2 linked regions of the Sus scrofa genome follow. The protein of the gene in region 1 binds, or shares a complex with, the protein of each later gene. Links are inferred from orthologs where the notes say so. Each region holds a gene or a part of one and is shown in the gene's direction. Other genes may lie near its edges.

What was found.
Region 2: the proteins of ERCC6L (region 1) and BEND3 are in contact, whole or in part, in a crystal structure (PDB 5JNO), measured with the Homo sapiens proteins. The link is inferred for Sus scrofa from reciprocal best matches to the Homo sapiens genes ERCC6L and BEND3. Residues at the interface, in NP_060139.2 of Homo sapiens: Ala10, Glu11, Ala12, Leu13, Ser14, Pro15, Glu16, Ala18, Ala19, Tyr21, Leu22, Arg23, Lys26, Phe51, Pro52, Asn53, Glu54, Lys55; in NP_001073919.1 of Homo sapiens: Glu252, Gln255, Ile256, Gln259, Leu261, Asp265, Arg269, Val272, Gln273, Pro276, Phe279, Ser280, Phe335, Arg338, Phe339, Gln342, Glu346.

The regions. Positions count from the first base shown.
Region 1 is NC_010461.5:58,084,444-58,091,975, reverse strand, and holds the end of ERCC6L (DNA excision repair protein ERCC-6-like), read left to right. Parts: intron 1-742; coding exon 743-4,418; 3' UTR 4,419-4,760; downstream 4,761-7,532. UniProt on the Homo sapiens protein: DNA helicase that acts as a tension sensor that associates with catenated DNA which is stretched under tension until it is resolved during anaphase. Functions as ATP-dependent DNA translocase. Can promote Holliday junction branch migration (in vitro).
Region 2 is NC_010443.5:73,184,567-73,192,098, reverse strand, and holds the end of BEND3 (BEN domain-containing protein 3), read left to right. Parts: intron 1-1,488; coding exon 1,489-3,735; 3' UTR 3,736-7,354; downstream 7,355-7,532. UniProt on the Homo sapiens protein: Transcriptional repressor which associates with the NoRC (nucleolar remodeling complex) complex and plays a key role in repressing rDNA transcription.

The DNA.
Region 1 (7,532 bases):
GATTAATTGGATTTGGAGGCGCCTATGAAACTTTCAAGTGGAGATGTCCAGAGGCAGTTGGAATGTGGGTCTAGATTAGAGCTTGAGGGCAAGCGCCGGATTGGAAAAAATGCTTTGGAAGCTCTGGGAGAGGATGAGGAAAGAGTAAAAGGAGTGAGAAGAGGGCCCAGGACTGAGCCCTCGGGGAGGAAGAATAGGAACCTAAGCAAGAGAGAGAAGAAATGGCCAGTGATGGGAGAGGAAACCAGGAGGAATCTATAGGAATCTGGTGGGAGAAGGGAATTATAAGGAGAGAGTGATCAATAGTGTGAAATGTATCACAGAGGTCCAGAAAAATAAGTTCCAAGAAGTGCCAATGTTATCTTTCTGTTTCTATGCTCCCATGGAATGGGTTGGTTGGTTGGTTTTATAAGAAAAAAAATCACTTTACACTTCTTATGGGTGGCAATTTTTTTTTAATGCTGTGAAATCAATAACCTTTGCACGTACATTTCCTACAACTAGTGCCTGAAGTTTTTGCTGGCAGTGTCTGGTGGATATTTGTGTCTGAAGTGATGCCAGCTTTCGTTGGCATCTTCTGTGCTAATCTTTCCTATTCTGACTTGAGGATATTAAATCTCAACTGTGGTTTGGCTTCCAAAGTGGATCCTTAGACTGAATGTTCAGTCTGTTTCATTTCTTTCTAATCTTCTATCAATATCTTTCTATATATCTTTTTTTTTAACCTTTTCTCTTTAAACAGATATGTGAAAGAGGCCAAAGAAGCAACTAAGAATGGAGATTTGGAAGAAGCACTTAAACTTTTCAATTTGGCAAAGGACATTTTTCCCAATGAAAAGGTGATGAGCAGAATCCAAAAAATACAGGAAGCCTTGGAGGAATTGGCAGAACACGGAGAGGATGAATTCACAGATGTGTGCAACTCTGGCCTGCTGCTTTATCGAGAGCTGCACAACCAGCTATTTGAATACCAGAAGGAAGGTGTGGCTTTCCTCTATAGCCTGTACAGGGATGGAAGAAGAGGTGGCATTTTGGCCGATGATATGGGATTAGGAAAGACTGTTCAAATCATCGCTTTCCTTTCTGGTATGTTTGATGCTTCACTTGTGAACCATGTGCTGCTGATCATGCCAACTAGTCTCATCAGCACGTGGCTAAGAGAATTTGTCAAGTGGACTCCAGGAATGAGAGTCAAAACCTTTCATGGTCCTAGCAAGGATGAACGTACCAGAAACCTCAGCCGGATTCAGCAAAGGAACGGCGTCATCATCACCACCTATCAAATGCTAATCAACAACTGGCAGCAACTTTCCAGCTTGAATGGCCGAGAGTTTGTGTGGGACTATGTCATCCTCGATGAAGCACATAAAATAAAAACGTCATCTACCAAGTCAGCAATATGTGCTCGAGCAATCCCTGCTCGTAATCGCATTCTCCTCACAGGAACCCCGATCCAAAATAATTTACAGGAACTGTGGTCCCTGTTTGATTTTGCTTGTCAAGGGTCCCTGCTAGGAACATTGAAAACTTTTAAAATGGAGTATGAAAACCCTATTACTAGAGCAAGAGAGAAGGATGCTACCCCAGGGGAAAAAGCCTTGGGATTTAAAATATCTGAAAACTTAATGGCAATCATAAAACCCTATTTTCTCAGGAGGACTAAAGAAGAGGTACAGAAGAAAAAGTCAAGCAACCCAGAGGTCCGACTTAGTGAAGAGGATCCAGATGCTGATGCCATATGCGAAATGCCTTCCCTTTCCAGGAAAAATGATTTAATTATCTGGATACGCCTTGTGCCACTACAAGAAGAAATATACAGGAAATTTGTGTCTCTAGATCATATCAAGGAGTTGTTAATGGAGACGCGCTCACCTTTGGCAGAGCTAGGTGTCTTAAAGAAGCTGTGTGATCATCCCAGGCTGCTCTCTGCACGGGCGTGTCAGTTGCTGAATCTAGGGGCTGTCAGATTCTCTGTCCAAGATGAAATTGAAGGGGAAGATTCCTCAGGTGTGGACCATATTGATCAAGTAAGTGATGAGACACTGATGGAAGAATCTGGAAAAATGACATTTCTAATGGACCTGCTTAAGAGACTGCGGGATGAAGGGCATCAAACGCTGGTGTTTTCCCAGTCAAGACAAATTCTAAACATCCTTGAACGCCTCTTAAAGAATAGGCACTTTAAGATACTGCGAATCGATGGAACAATCACTCATCTTGTGGAACGAGAAAAAAGAATTAGCTTGTTCCAGCAAAATAAAGACTATTCGGTTTTTCTGCTGACCACTCAAGTAGGTGGTGTGGGCTTAACATTAACTGCGGCAAGTAGAGTTGTCATCTTTGACCCTAGCTGGAATCCTGCAACTGATGCCCAAGCTGTGGATAGAGTTTACCGAATTGGACAAAAAGAAAATGTTGTGGTTTATAGGCTAATCACTTGTGGAACTGTAGAGGAGAAAATATACAGAAGACAGGTTTTCAAGGACTCATTAATAAGACAAACTACTGGGGATAAGAAGAACCCTTTCCGATATTTTAGTAAGCAGGAATTGAGAGAGCTCTTTACAATTGAGGATTTTCAGAACTCAGCAACCCAGCTGCAGCTTCAGTCTTTGCATGCTTCTCAGAGGAGATCTGATAAAAACCTAGATGAACATATTGCCTACCTGCACTCTCTGAGGATAGCTGGAATCTCAGACCATGATTTGATGTATACACGGGATCTGTCTGTTAAAGAAGAGCTTGATGTGATCGAAGACTCTCACTATATTCAACAAAGGGTTCAGAAAGCTCAATTCCTTGTTGAATCTGAGTCTCAAAATACAGAGCTCTTAATGGAAAGACAAAGGACAGCAAGTGAGGGGATCTGGCTGAGAGAACCTGTCTTTCCTTCTCAAACAAAGAAGAAATGTGCTGGATTCAATAAACCACAGCCTCGGCCTTCACCTCTTCTACCCACTCATCACATCCAGGAAGAAGACATCAGTTCCCAAATGGCCAGCATAATTATTGATGATCTGCCTGAAGAGAGTGAGAAACAAGATCTCTTCAGGATAAAGATGAATGATACCAGCCCTCAAAATGGTAGACACCCACGTGACAGTATATTGGATGCTAACTTTGTAGATACTTTACCCAGTGGGGGTGGAAAGGTAGAAGAAATTTGGACTGACTCTTTATCAGGGATGGCTCTACAGAAAGAGGCACTGCAAGAGGGGCCTATACAGGAGGTATTACGAGAGAGCCCCCTGGGAAGTTTTAGTTATTTACCCAACAAGTCAGTCAGAGCTGATATTGAGCCAAATCTAGATCATCTAGAGGATGATGAGATTTTACATCCCTGCAATCCCTGGCCTGTTAATCCCATAACAAAGGAGTCTCAAAATCCAGAATTGAGTGTGTCTGTTATTCAAATAGTGGATGATGGCTTAACAGCAGCCCACAGCACACTGCAGGATGCTCAAGTGAATGAGGTCAAGTTGGAAGAGGAACCTTTAGCATCTTCAGCACAGTACACATGTGATTTCAATCTTTTCTTGGAAGACTCTGCAGACAATGGACCAAATCTTTCCAGTCAGTCAGTGGAGCATGGTGAGAAAGAAAACAGCCTGTGTGGCTCTGCAGCTAATTCTGGAGTAGAGTTTGTGCATAGCAAAGCATGTCTCAGTGTGGATCTTTCTGAGAAAGATGAGGAGCCAGAAGAAGTTGTAGTTAATGTGAAAGTCAGAAGTAAAGCTAGACGGATTGATTCAGATGACGAAGATGCAAATGATACTTTTAAAGATACTTCAAGCACAAACCCATTCAACACATCTCCCTTCCCGTTTTTATCTGTAAAACAGTTTGATGCCTCAACTCCCAAAAATGACATCAGTCCACCTGGAAGTTTCTTTTCACCTAAAATATCTGATAGTATAAATAAGTCTATAAACTCTAGAAGATCTCTGGCTTCTAGGAGATCTCTTATTAATGTGGTTTTAGACCATGTGGAGGATATGGAGGAAAGACTTGACAATAGCAGTGAAGCAAAAGTTGCTGAAGATTTTCTGGAGGAAGGAGCAGAGGAAAGCATCAATGAAGCCCCAGAGTGTACAGAAGAATCTTCTGGAGAAACACTGTCTTCAGAAAATAAGTCCAGTGGGTTAAGTACACCTGGGCCTGGTGGTCTGGCTCCGGAGACCTCTTCTGGTGATCCTGAGCCTTCGTCTGGTGGACAGTTGGTTGACTCTCCCCAGGATGAGGCAGTGGAGTCAGTAAATGACTATGAGACTCTGGTCTTGCGTGGAAAAGAACTGAAAGCATGTGGAAAAATACAGGAGGCCTTAGACTGCTTAGTTAAAGCACTTGACATAAAAAGTTCAGATCCTGAAGTCATGCTCATGACTTTAAGTTTGTATAAGCAACTTAATAAAACTTGAGAATATAACCTGTTTATTGTATTTTAAAGTGAAACTGAGCATGAGGGAATTTGTTTCCATAATTGGATTCTTTAGGAGCCATGAAGCATTCAGGCTTAAGGCTAGAAAACTCAAAAAGTGAGTTTTTGTTTCCGACTTTCTTATAAATTCTGCCTTTACTGCCTGCTCCTGCCTCCCTCCCACCCCCGTACATGTATTCGGATGTTCTGAGCACTAGGTTTATTTTTTATTTTATTCTTATTTTTCTTTTAGGCATGCTCTGTAAGCTTAATAGAACAGTGTTATTTCTAGAGAAGTTTTTGCAAAATTACTCTGGCCATTTTAAATTTTATTCTGAAAATGATCCATTTTGTATATCACAGTTCAGATAATATTAAAGTTAACTCTTCTCAAGTGTTTTTCCTTCACTTTCTTTCACTGAGATGATTGATATTGGCACATGCATCTAGAAATTCCTTTAGGCAGAAATCTGTCATTAGTAGTCCAGATCTAAGACCTGCTTATTAACATGCTATTTTAGGCCCTCGGCTCACTATAGCTGGTGAGCCAAAGGCTGGGATAAGGTACCTGGTGCGGGCCTTTTTTCTTTCTTTCTTTTTCTTTCTTTTTTTTTTTTTTACATTTATTGCTTTGTTTATTGTCTTTTCTAGGGCCGTACCCTCAACATATGGAGGTTCCAGGGATCGAACCCGCAACCTCATGGTTTCTAGTTGGATTTGTTAACCACTGAGCCACAATGGGAACTCCAAGGGCTTCCTTCTTTATCACCGGTGCCCTACCCTGGAGTCCTTTTGCCCAAACATCTGGCCATCCTTCACTCACCACCAGCTGCATGCTGACACATGCTAGCACATCCTATCTTTGGGTTATAGATGGGAAAGGAGTTTGGTTCCACCCTAGAAACACGAAGTACGATACAGCCTTCTGCACACTGTCACTGGAGAATTTATCAATAATCTACTATGTATTAGGTACTCTGCATGGGTTTCTTGTTTAATCTTTACCATAGCCCTTTGAAGTCAAAGGCAGTATTTCCACTTTTTTTTCTTTTTCGGCTGCCCCGCATTCTGGGCCAGGGATCAGATCTGCGTCACAGGCTTGACCTAAGCCACAGCTGTGGCAATGCCGGATCCTTAACCCACTGTGCCAGGCCAGGGATTGAACCTGAGTCCCAGCACTCCCTAGACGCCACTAATCCTGTTGCGCTGCTGTGGGAACTCCAGCATTTCCATTTTTCAGTTGAGTAAAATGGCTTAATGAGGGCATGACCTGCCCAAGATCACACAGTAAGAGGTGGAATGGATTTTTAACTATGTGTTACTTTGTGAAAAGCCATTATAATAACCAAGCTGTTTTTATTCACAGCGCTTCTGACACCAAATGTGGGGGTTTTCCACACCAAGCAGTTCTCCAGTTCTCGACAGACACCAACTGGGTGTCCTACAATTCAATTCAATTCTGATCCTCCCTGGCTTAGGATTGGACTGCACACGGGTTTAAGGGCTCACTCCCATAAGACTGTCCTCACATCAGATGTCACTTGTTTGTATTAGGTCCCCACATTATCCACACTTCTGTCCAGCTTGTGGGCTACGAAATTGAGGGCGCCCATGAGCCCTCTTAAGGTTCAGTAATTTTCTAGACTGGCTCATAGAACTTAGGAAAACTTATTACCAGGGTTTTGTGGGGTTTTTTGTTTGTTTTGTTTTGTTTTGTTTTTATCAAGCCCCTGGCATGTGGAAGTTCCCGGACCAAGAATCAAAACAGTGCTACAGCAGCAGCCCAAGCCACTGCAGTGACAAAGCCAGATCTTTAACCTGCTGTGCCGCAAGAGAACTCCCTTACCAGTTTTTATAAATACAACTCAGGAACAGCCAAATGGAAGATTTGTGTGGGGCAAGGTGTGGGAGGGTGTGTGTGTGTGGTTTCCCTGTGTTCACTGGCTGAAGCTCTCCAAACCCTGTTGTTTTGGATTTTTAAGGGAGGTTTCACTGTAGGCATGATTGTTTAAATCCATCTCCAGCCCCTCTCCCTCTAGAGGCCAGGGGGTGGGGTCAAGAGTTCCAACCCTCTGAGTCTCTCAAAAGACCAGCACCCACCCCCAGTTATTGCATTAACATATAAAAGACTCAATCACTCTGGAGATTCTTTTTTTTTTGGTATTTCTTGGGCCGCTCCCGTGGCACATGGAGGTTCCCAGGCTAGGGGTCCAATCGGAGCTGTAGCCACCGGCCTACGCCAGAGCCACAGCAACTCGGGATCCGAGCCGCGTCTGCAACCTACACCACAGCTCACAGCAACGCCAGATCGTTAACCCACTGAGCAAGGGCAGGGACCGAACCTGCAACCTCATGATTCCTAGTCGGATTCGTTAACCACTGCGCCACGACGGGAACTCCCACACTCTGGAGATTCTTTTTTTTTTTTTTTTTTTTGTCTTTTTGTTGTTGTTGTTGTTGTTGTTGTTGTTGCTATTTCTTGGGCCGCTCCCGTGGCATATGGAGGTTCCCAGGCTAGGGGTCCAATCGGAGCTGTAGCCACCGGCCTACGCCAGAGCCACAGCAACGCGGGATCCGAGCTGCGTCTGCAACCTACACCACAGCTCACCGCAACGCCGGATCGTTAACCCGCTGAGCAAGGGCAGGGACCGAACCCGCAACCTCATGGTTCCTAGTCGGATTCGTTAACCACTTCGCCACGACGGGAACTCCCTGGAGATTCTTAAAGAGCTGGGTGCCCATAACCAGGGATGAAGACTAGATATGTTTATTATATCACATACACATATAAAAGCTTGAAAGAGATGAGCTGAATTTTAAATAATAGGTTATTTATTGATAGTACAAAATTGCTTTTACCAAAAGAAATTACTACAGTCACTGCTTGGTATCCTGGTGGTACTGCTTCCAGGACCCCTGCAGGTACCCAAGTCCACAGATGCCCAAGTCCCTCATATAAAATGGTGATTTACATATAACCTACAGAGTCTCACATGTCTTTTAAATCATCTCTAGATTTACTTATAATACCTAATACAACATAATTGTAAATAGTTGTAAATACACTGTGCATGCTATGTAAATAACTGCCAGTGAATGGCAAATTCAAGTTTCG
Region 2 (7,532 bases), on another chromosome or scaffold:
GCCTGAGCTTGTTTTTCATTCTTCTAAAGAAGTTTTCAATTTTGATGAAGTCCAATTGATCAGCTTGTTCTCTCATGGATCATATTTGTGGTGGAATAGCTGAGAAATACTGGCCTAAAACAAGGTCATAAAGGATTGCTCTTAGGTTTTCTTCTAGAAGTGTTAGAGTTTTAAGACAGCATTTATTTTTACATCAACCTTCCACTTATAGTTAGTTTTTGTATGTTATATGTAGGATAAAAACCTTTCATTTTTTACCTTTTTTTTTTCTTTGCCTATATGTATCCAGTTTTTTCAGCATCATTTGTTGAAAAGATTATCCTTGCTCCACTGAATTGCCTTTCAATTTGTGTTGAGAATCACTTGTCCATATAGATGTAAATAAGCCTCTAAAACTGTCCAGGCCTGGCAGTGGGGAAAATCACTAATGAAAGCAGTGAGAACTCCATGATCCTAAATGGTCTGGTCAGGTGCCTTCTGGTAGGGAGTTTGGACTCAAGCTTTGAAGTCTTTAAAGAGTATCTTGGAGTCTGATTAGGGGAGACTAATGCCTTGGGAGTCCATTAGGGGTGGACCTGCAGTGTGCCAGCCTTGAGTGAGTTGAGATAATCCCTGAAATCATTTTTGGTAGGGCTTAATCCTCTCACCGTCCTCTGTTGAGCAACACTGGATAGAACCTATAAAATACCTTTCTAGATGCATCAGGGAAGCGAGAATACTTTACGTGCAATGAGTACTTTAGTATGTGGGGTTTAATACTCTCCTTTGATTGAGATGGGCTACTGGACCACTAGGAGACCAAGACTTAGAAACCAGGAGGCCTTGTCATTTTATGGAATCCACAGTCGCCTGAACTTTGGGGAGTTCTGGGCCTTTTCTAGCCTGAGTTCAGACATGACTTCAGGCAGTGGTAGAGTGGCAGCAGACTGCCACTCTCATAACCCCATTTCTTCCAAGCTCAGCACTGTGCATCTCAGAAGCTGTCCAGAGTGGAGACACGTGCTCCCCTAGAGGCTGCAAACTGGACAACAGACTGCTGCCTTCTGGAGGTGCCCTAGGCGGGGATCCTCCCTGTCTGAAAGCAGTCAGGGTCATGAGGTGGCCTGCCCATGGCCAAACTGCCACAGGAGCTCCTCCTGTTCCTGAGGTCTCTCTCCTGGACCTCTCAGGACTCTTGCCCAGCTTTGCCAGCATCTGTTCCTGGTCTTCTGCCAGGCCCTGTGGGCAGGAAGTCCAGCACTGATGTTCCACAGGAATTGGAAGCCTTTGGGGTCCAGCCTGAGCCTCTCAGGAATTAGAGCAGGTTTGGTGCTGGGATGCAGGTTGGTATCAGTTGTGTGTTCCTGAACCAGCAGAGTGATTCCCCAGGCCCAGGAAGCACTTTCTCACAAGTTCCTGAGATTGACCTTGGCCCGTCTGTGCAGGACACAGACCAGTGTCTAGTGTCGTAAATCAGAACACTCACCTAACACAGTTTTTGTTTTCCAGGCGCTCCTAGCAGGCATGCGGAACCGGGAGAACAGCTCGCCCTGCCAGGGCAACGGGGAGCAGGCGGGCAGGGGCAGGAACTCGGGCTCGGTGTGGCCGGGAGAGGAGGAGCCGGGCAATGACGTGACCACGCCCTCCTACAAGAAGCCTCTGTACGGCATCTCGCACAAGATCATGGAGAAGAAGAACCCTCCCCCTGGGGACGTGCTCAACACGTACGAGCTCTTTGAGAAGGCGAATCCCAGCAACAGCCCCTCACCACTGCGGCTCCTGAATGAGCCACAGAAGCGAGACTGTGGCGGTGGCGCGGCGGCCACCGACGGCGACCCCAACATCTACTTTCTCATCCAGAAGATGTTCTACATGCTCAACACGCTCTCCTCCAACATGTCGCAGCTGCACAGCAAGGTGGACCTGCTGTCCCTGGAGGTGAGCCGCATCAAGAAGCAGGTGAGCCCCACGGAGATGGTGGCCAAATTCCAGCCGCCCCCTGAGTACCAGCTCACGGCGGCCGAGCTCAAGCAGATCGTGGACCAGAGCCTGTCAGGCGGCGACCTGGCCTGCCGCCTGCTGGTGCAGCTCTTCCCCGAGCTCTTCAGCGACGTGGACTTCTCCCGGGGCTGCAGCGCCTGCGGCTTTGCGGCCAAACGGAAGCTGGAGTCGCTGCACCTGCAGCTCATCCGCAACTACGTGGAGGTCTACTACCCGTCGGTGAAGGACACGGCCGTGTGGCAGGCGGAGTGCCTGCCCCAGCTGAACGACTTCTTCAGCCGCTTCTGGGCCCAGCGGGAAATGGAGGACAGCCAGCCCAGCGGCCAGGTCGCCGGCTTCTTTGAGGCTGACCAGGTGGACTCGGGCCATTTCCTGGACAACAAAGACCAGGAGGAAGCCCTGTCCCTGGACCGGAGCAGCACCATCGCCTCGGACCATGTGGTGGACACACAGGACCTCACTGAGTTCCTGGATGAAGCCTCTTCGCCGGGGGAGTTCGCCGTCTTCCTTCTCCACCGGCTCTTCCCCGAGCTCTTCGACCACCGGAAGCTGGGCGAGCAGTACAGTTGCTACGGGGACGGCGGCAGGCAGGAGCTGGACCCGCAGAGGCTGCAGATCATCCGCAACTACACAGAGATCTACTTCCCCGACATGCAGGAGGAGGAGGCCTGGCTGCAGCAGTGCGCCCAGCGCATCAATGATGAGCTCGAGGGCTTGGGGCTAGATGCGGGCAGCGAGGGCGAGGCCGCGCGGGATGACTGCTACGACTCCTCCAGCCTGCCCGATGACATCTCCGTGGTCAAGGTGGAAGACAGTTTCGAGGGCGAGCGGCCTGGCCGGCGGTCCAAGAAGATCTGGCTGGTGCCCATCGATTTCGACAAGCTGGAGATCCCTCAGCCCGACTTCGAGGTGCCGGGCGCCGACTGCCTGCTCAGCAAAGAGCAGCTACGCAGCATCTACGAGAGCAGCCTGTCCATTGGCAACTTCGCCTCACGCCTGCTGGTGCACCTGTTCCCCGAGCTCTTCACCCACGAGAACTTGCGGAAGCAGTATAACTGCAGCGGCTCCCTGGGCAAGAAGCAGCTGGACCCGTCTCGCATCAAGCTCATCCGCCACTACGTGCAGCTGCTCTACCCGCGGGCCAAGAACGACCGCGTCTGGACGCTGGAGTTCGTGGGCAAACTGGACGAGCGCTGCCGGCGCCGGGACACGGAACAGAGGCGCTCCTACCAGCAGCAGCGCAAGGTCCATGTGCCAGGGCCCGAGTGCAGGGACCTGGCCAGCTATGCAATCAACCCTGAGCGGTTCCGGGAGGAATTTGAGGGGCCCCCACTGCCCCCTGAAAGGAGCAGCAAGGACTTCTGCAAGATCCCCCTGGACGAGCTGGTGGTGCCCTCGCCCGACTTCCCGGTGCCTTCGCCGTACCTGCTGTCAGACAAGGAGGTGCGCGAGATCGTGCAGCAGAGCCTTTCCGTGGGCAACTTCGCCGCCCGGCTGCTCGTCAGGCTCTTCCCCGAACTCTTCACCGCCGAGAACCTGCGGCTGCAGTACAACCACTCCGGGGCCTGCAACAAGAAGCAGCTGGACCCCACGCGCCTGAGGCTTATCCGCCACTACGTGGAGGCCGTGTACCCGGTGGAGAAGATGGAGGAGGTGTGGCACTACGAATGTATCCCGAGCATCGACGAGCGGTGCCGCCGGCCCAACAGGAAGAAATGCGACATCCTGAAGAAAGCCAAGAAGGTGGAAAAGTGATGGACACCTCGGGGCACTGAGCCTTCTGCGGGAGCACACGAGGGTCCACAGCCTTGTCCACAGCCGCGCGCACCTTATGTCGGAGGGGAGTGGCCTACTGCATTTGCACACGTAATCGCTCAGCCAGCTACAAGACAGAAGCCTTTCATTTGGTCTCTTGTACTTATGACATTTGTCCTGTGCTCCTGGTGGCCCAGCCGGAGTCTTGGGAGGGGTGGGGGGAGAGCTGAGCCTTGAGAGCAGAGAGTCAGGGTTCCCACTCCTTGGCAGTGTCGCCCCAAACCCCTCACAATTTGAAATGCAAATTGAGCAACACTCTTGTTCTGCTTCCCACATTTTACATCTTCCATTTTTATCAATTTTTTTTAATTAAAAAGGAAACCGTTTTTAAGAAAATCAGTGGGCTCTATGGAAGCCATTTTGCTTAGAAAAAAAATCTTTTAAATATTTGAAATGAAGTACTGTAAGATGACTTAAGTTGCTGGGATTTTTTTTTTAAGATGGTTTCAGATAATGAAATTTTTAGAAGTGCCATGTTCATGCATGATGGCTAATAATAGCTTCAGGTTGCATAGAAATGGATGTTACTGACCTTGTCTTTTTCATCAGATTTTGGAAGAGTCAAGATGCCTCTCAGATGGCAGTAGAGGGGATGAAATAGCTTGATGTCCTTTTGTCCATGGTCAGTCCTGCTCTCCCTCCTACTGTAGTGCCGAGGAAGGGGCTCAGGGGGTGGCCTGGCCTGTCCCACATTGCTGCGCCGGTAGAATGTTGTGCTCACTCTGTAGCCGAGAACACTGGATGATGATGATGATGATATGAATGTAGATAGACGTGGTAACACGTTCACAATGTCTTCATTTGAACTGTGTCCTTCTACTGCCCCCTTTCCTCTCTAAACGAGGTTGCTGGTTGGAGGGGCAGACACATTTCCTTGGAAGAGAGTGTGTGTGGATATTTGGCTTCTTGTTTGATTTAAGGATGGGTCCCTTGGGGCTCACCAAGAACTGTTTACTTTCCATGTGTGTAATTGTACAAAACCCGGGTTCTGGGAGCTGGATGGTGACGCACCACACGTCAGTGTCAGCTCCTCCAGTCAGTACACATCCTCGTTCCTCAGGGCAGGCCCAGGCCTTGGGCCCTCTTGGGGATACCTGCTATTGGCAGGACACAGGCCATCTCAAATGGGGCGCCCGTGTCCCTTCCCAGGGTCCACTCAGAGCTTTCCCCTTGCATCCCGTAGAAGACCCTGCTGTCCTACATCTGGCCAGTCCTTTGGCCTCGGGGTAAGACACCTCTTCTCTCCCCTCTGGGAAGGTCACACTGATCCAGGCCAGCGGCATGTTCTCTGGGATTCCAACCAGGAAACTCCCCAACAGGTAAAGAAAGTCCTTAATAGGAAAACAATACTTTTTACCTCCCTGATATTGTGCCTAAGAGGGAAAGGAAACAGTCTACCCAAACTGAATACACATCCCACCAGAAAGCTAGAAAATGAATTGATTCAGACAGGGTAGATCTAAAACCCTTGTGAAATATTACAGATTTAATAACCTTGATGGCCTAATATTTTGCTACCTTAAAATGCAGAAATAATGGAAACAATCTGTGAATTTTCTTTATACAGATGAGGGCTTCAGTTCCAGTGGCTGTATGATGGAATTTTGCCTGCACCCAATGGGCATTTTTTGTTTTTTAACATGACAGGATTTTGAGCAATGTAAAGTTGCTGATCTAACTTTAGTAAATTTGCTTTGTCATGGTATTTACAGATTATATCTTTTGAAACTTCGGACCTAAATTATTGCAGTTCAGAAATGCACAGGGACTTCATCGTGACCCTCTCCTACCCACCCACACATGCACACACACATTTCTTAGTAGAAAACTGAAGTGAGATGAAGGGGACCGACATGAAGAACAAGTTCAACCTCTTTGTGCCTGGAAAGGAGGAGAACTGGAGCAGCCGGAGACTCGCTTCCCCTCACCCGGGCCTTTCTCTATGCCTTAGTCGCTCCAGCACACACCTGCATGGCCGCTCGCGCATGCGCGCAGGGCCGACCCAAAGATGGCGTTGGCGCTCTCGCTCCCCGGCCCTGTGGGTGGGAGGGTGCCCGTGGAATTTCTTCTGGTCTCTAGGATGTATCCAAGAGGATTCCAAGCCATGTGAAAACCGCCCTGCTTTCTAGAGGGTGGAATGTGACCCTGCAACTTCAGAAGCACAATCATTTAATAGTTTTTTTTTCAAAGAGCATCCTATCTACCCACAGTGAGACATCAGCAGGTTCTAGGAACGGAATGTGTTTATAACCTAGAGCGTGTTCACTTTTTGGAAACTGCATTTTGGTGTTTTCCTGAATACCTTTCCCTTGTAGGGCTTTCTCCCTCCGCCCAAATCCTAGAGTCCCTTTCAGTGAAGAGAGGTGGATGCTCTCTGTGAGCTGTTTCTTTTCTCTCTCGACTGACTCATCAGGAACCGCCTTCTGGTCCGGGGTCTGTCTGTGTGGTGTCCTCGGTGCTCGAGCCATACAGGTGGGCTCCAGGAGCAGTGTTTTTGTTTTTGTTTTTGTTTTTGTTTTTACACAAAGCAATAGAAGTATTAAAATGCTATTTTTTTCCCAAAATTTGTGTTCCATAAAATCTGTTGGCAAAACCCCTTCTCCTAATTACTCTTCTCCTTCATCTAAAGTCTTTGATTTTTACTTGTTTGTTTATTGGGATCCTTCCCCGCTCATATCCAGAGGACTAAAGAAGTAGCACAGACACATTCTGATGTTAAGTAAAAAATAGCAAGTCACAATAGGTGGTAGTGTCCCTCTGTTAGTAAGATTTAAAAGAATGTATGAAGATAGTCATGAATGTACTAAGTGTTCTAATCCTGCTTCAGTTCACTTTGGCTGTGTCTACATGACCACACACGTTTGACAGGGAGTAAAGTTGTGTCCAGTGTCGTGGGTGTTAGTGTGCCCCTCCCCCTTCAGCGCTGGCCCCGAACCTTCCTTTCTGCTTAGGTTTGGAGGGAGGGGCACCGCGTCAGCAGCTGTCATCAACCCGCCAATGGGATCTACTTAGGGGTGAATGGATTAACTGTTTTAATGCTGAGTCACTGGTCTGACCACACCTCAGCGTGGCCACTCAGGTGCTTGCGGAGATGGCCTCAGTTTCCATCTTTCCCCACAAATGTTTGCTTCTTGCCTGATGGAGGAGGGTCTCGAGAGCCCTTACTGGAGGTCACTGAGCTCTTACCCTGCCTCGCTGTGTAGATAGATGATACGATGTGGGGGCGGGGAGCCCATGGGGCTCTTACTGCCGTTTGGAGATGTTGCCTCGAGTAGATCCAGCCTTAATGTTGTTCTGACATCCTAGTGATAGCAGACCCTGCACAAAGTGGATATCAGAGTTCATACTGTGAGGAGACAAAATAATGAGAATAGTTTTACCAAAGATAATGAAATATCGCATTATGTCTGCATTTTACCATTGATTTGAGCGCGTCCTTAGAAAACTGAATGTAACAAAAACCCAGGACAATTTTGGAAATTGTATGCTCTCTAGCAACTTTGTGTGAATTTTTATACAAGCACTGTTTTATGAGTTATATAAAATGTTATAAAAATAGAAAAAACCCGGTCTGGAAACGTCTTATTTTCTTAGGGCAGAGGTTTCAGAATGTCTGGGTCTATTGTCTTTGCATGCGGCCCCCTCCCCCAACCCAGGGGCGGCCACAGGTACTTGGGACCTTGGCCTCTCCAGCGTCCACACTCCGGGTGTCAGGGTGCAGTTTGTCATGGCTGAAT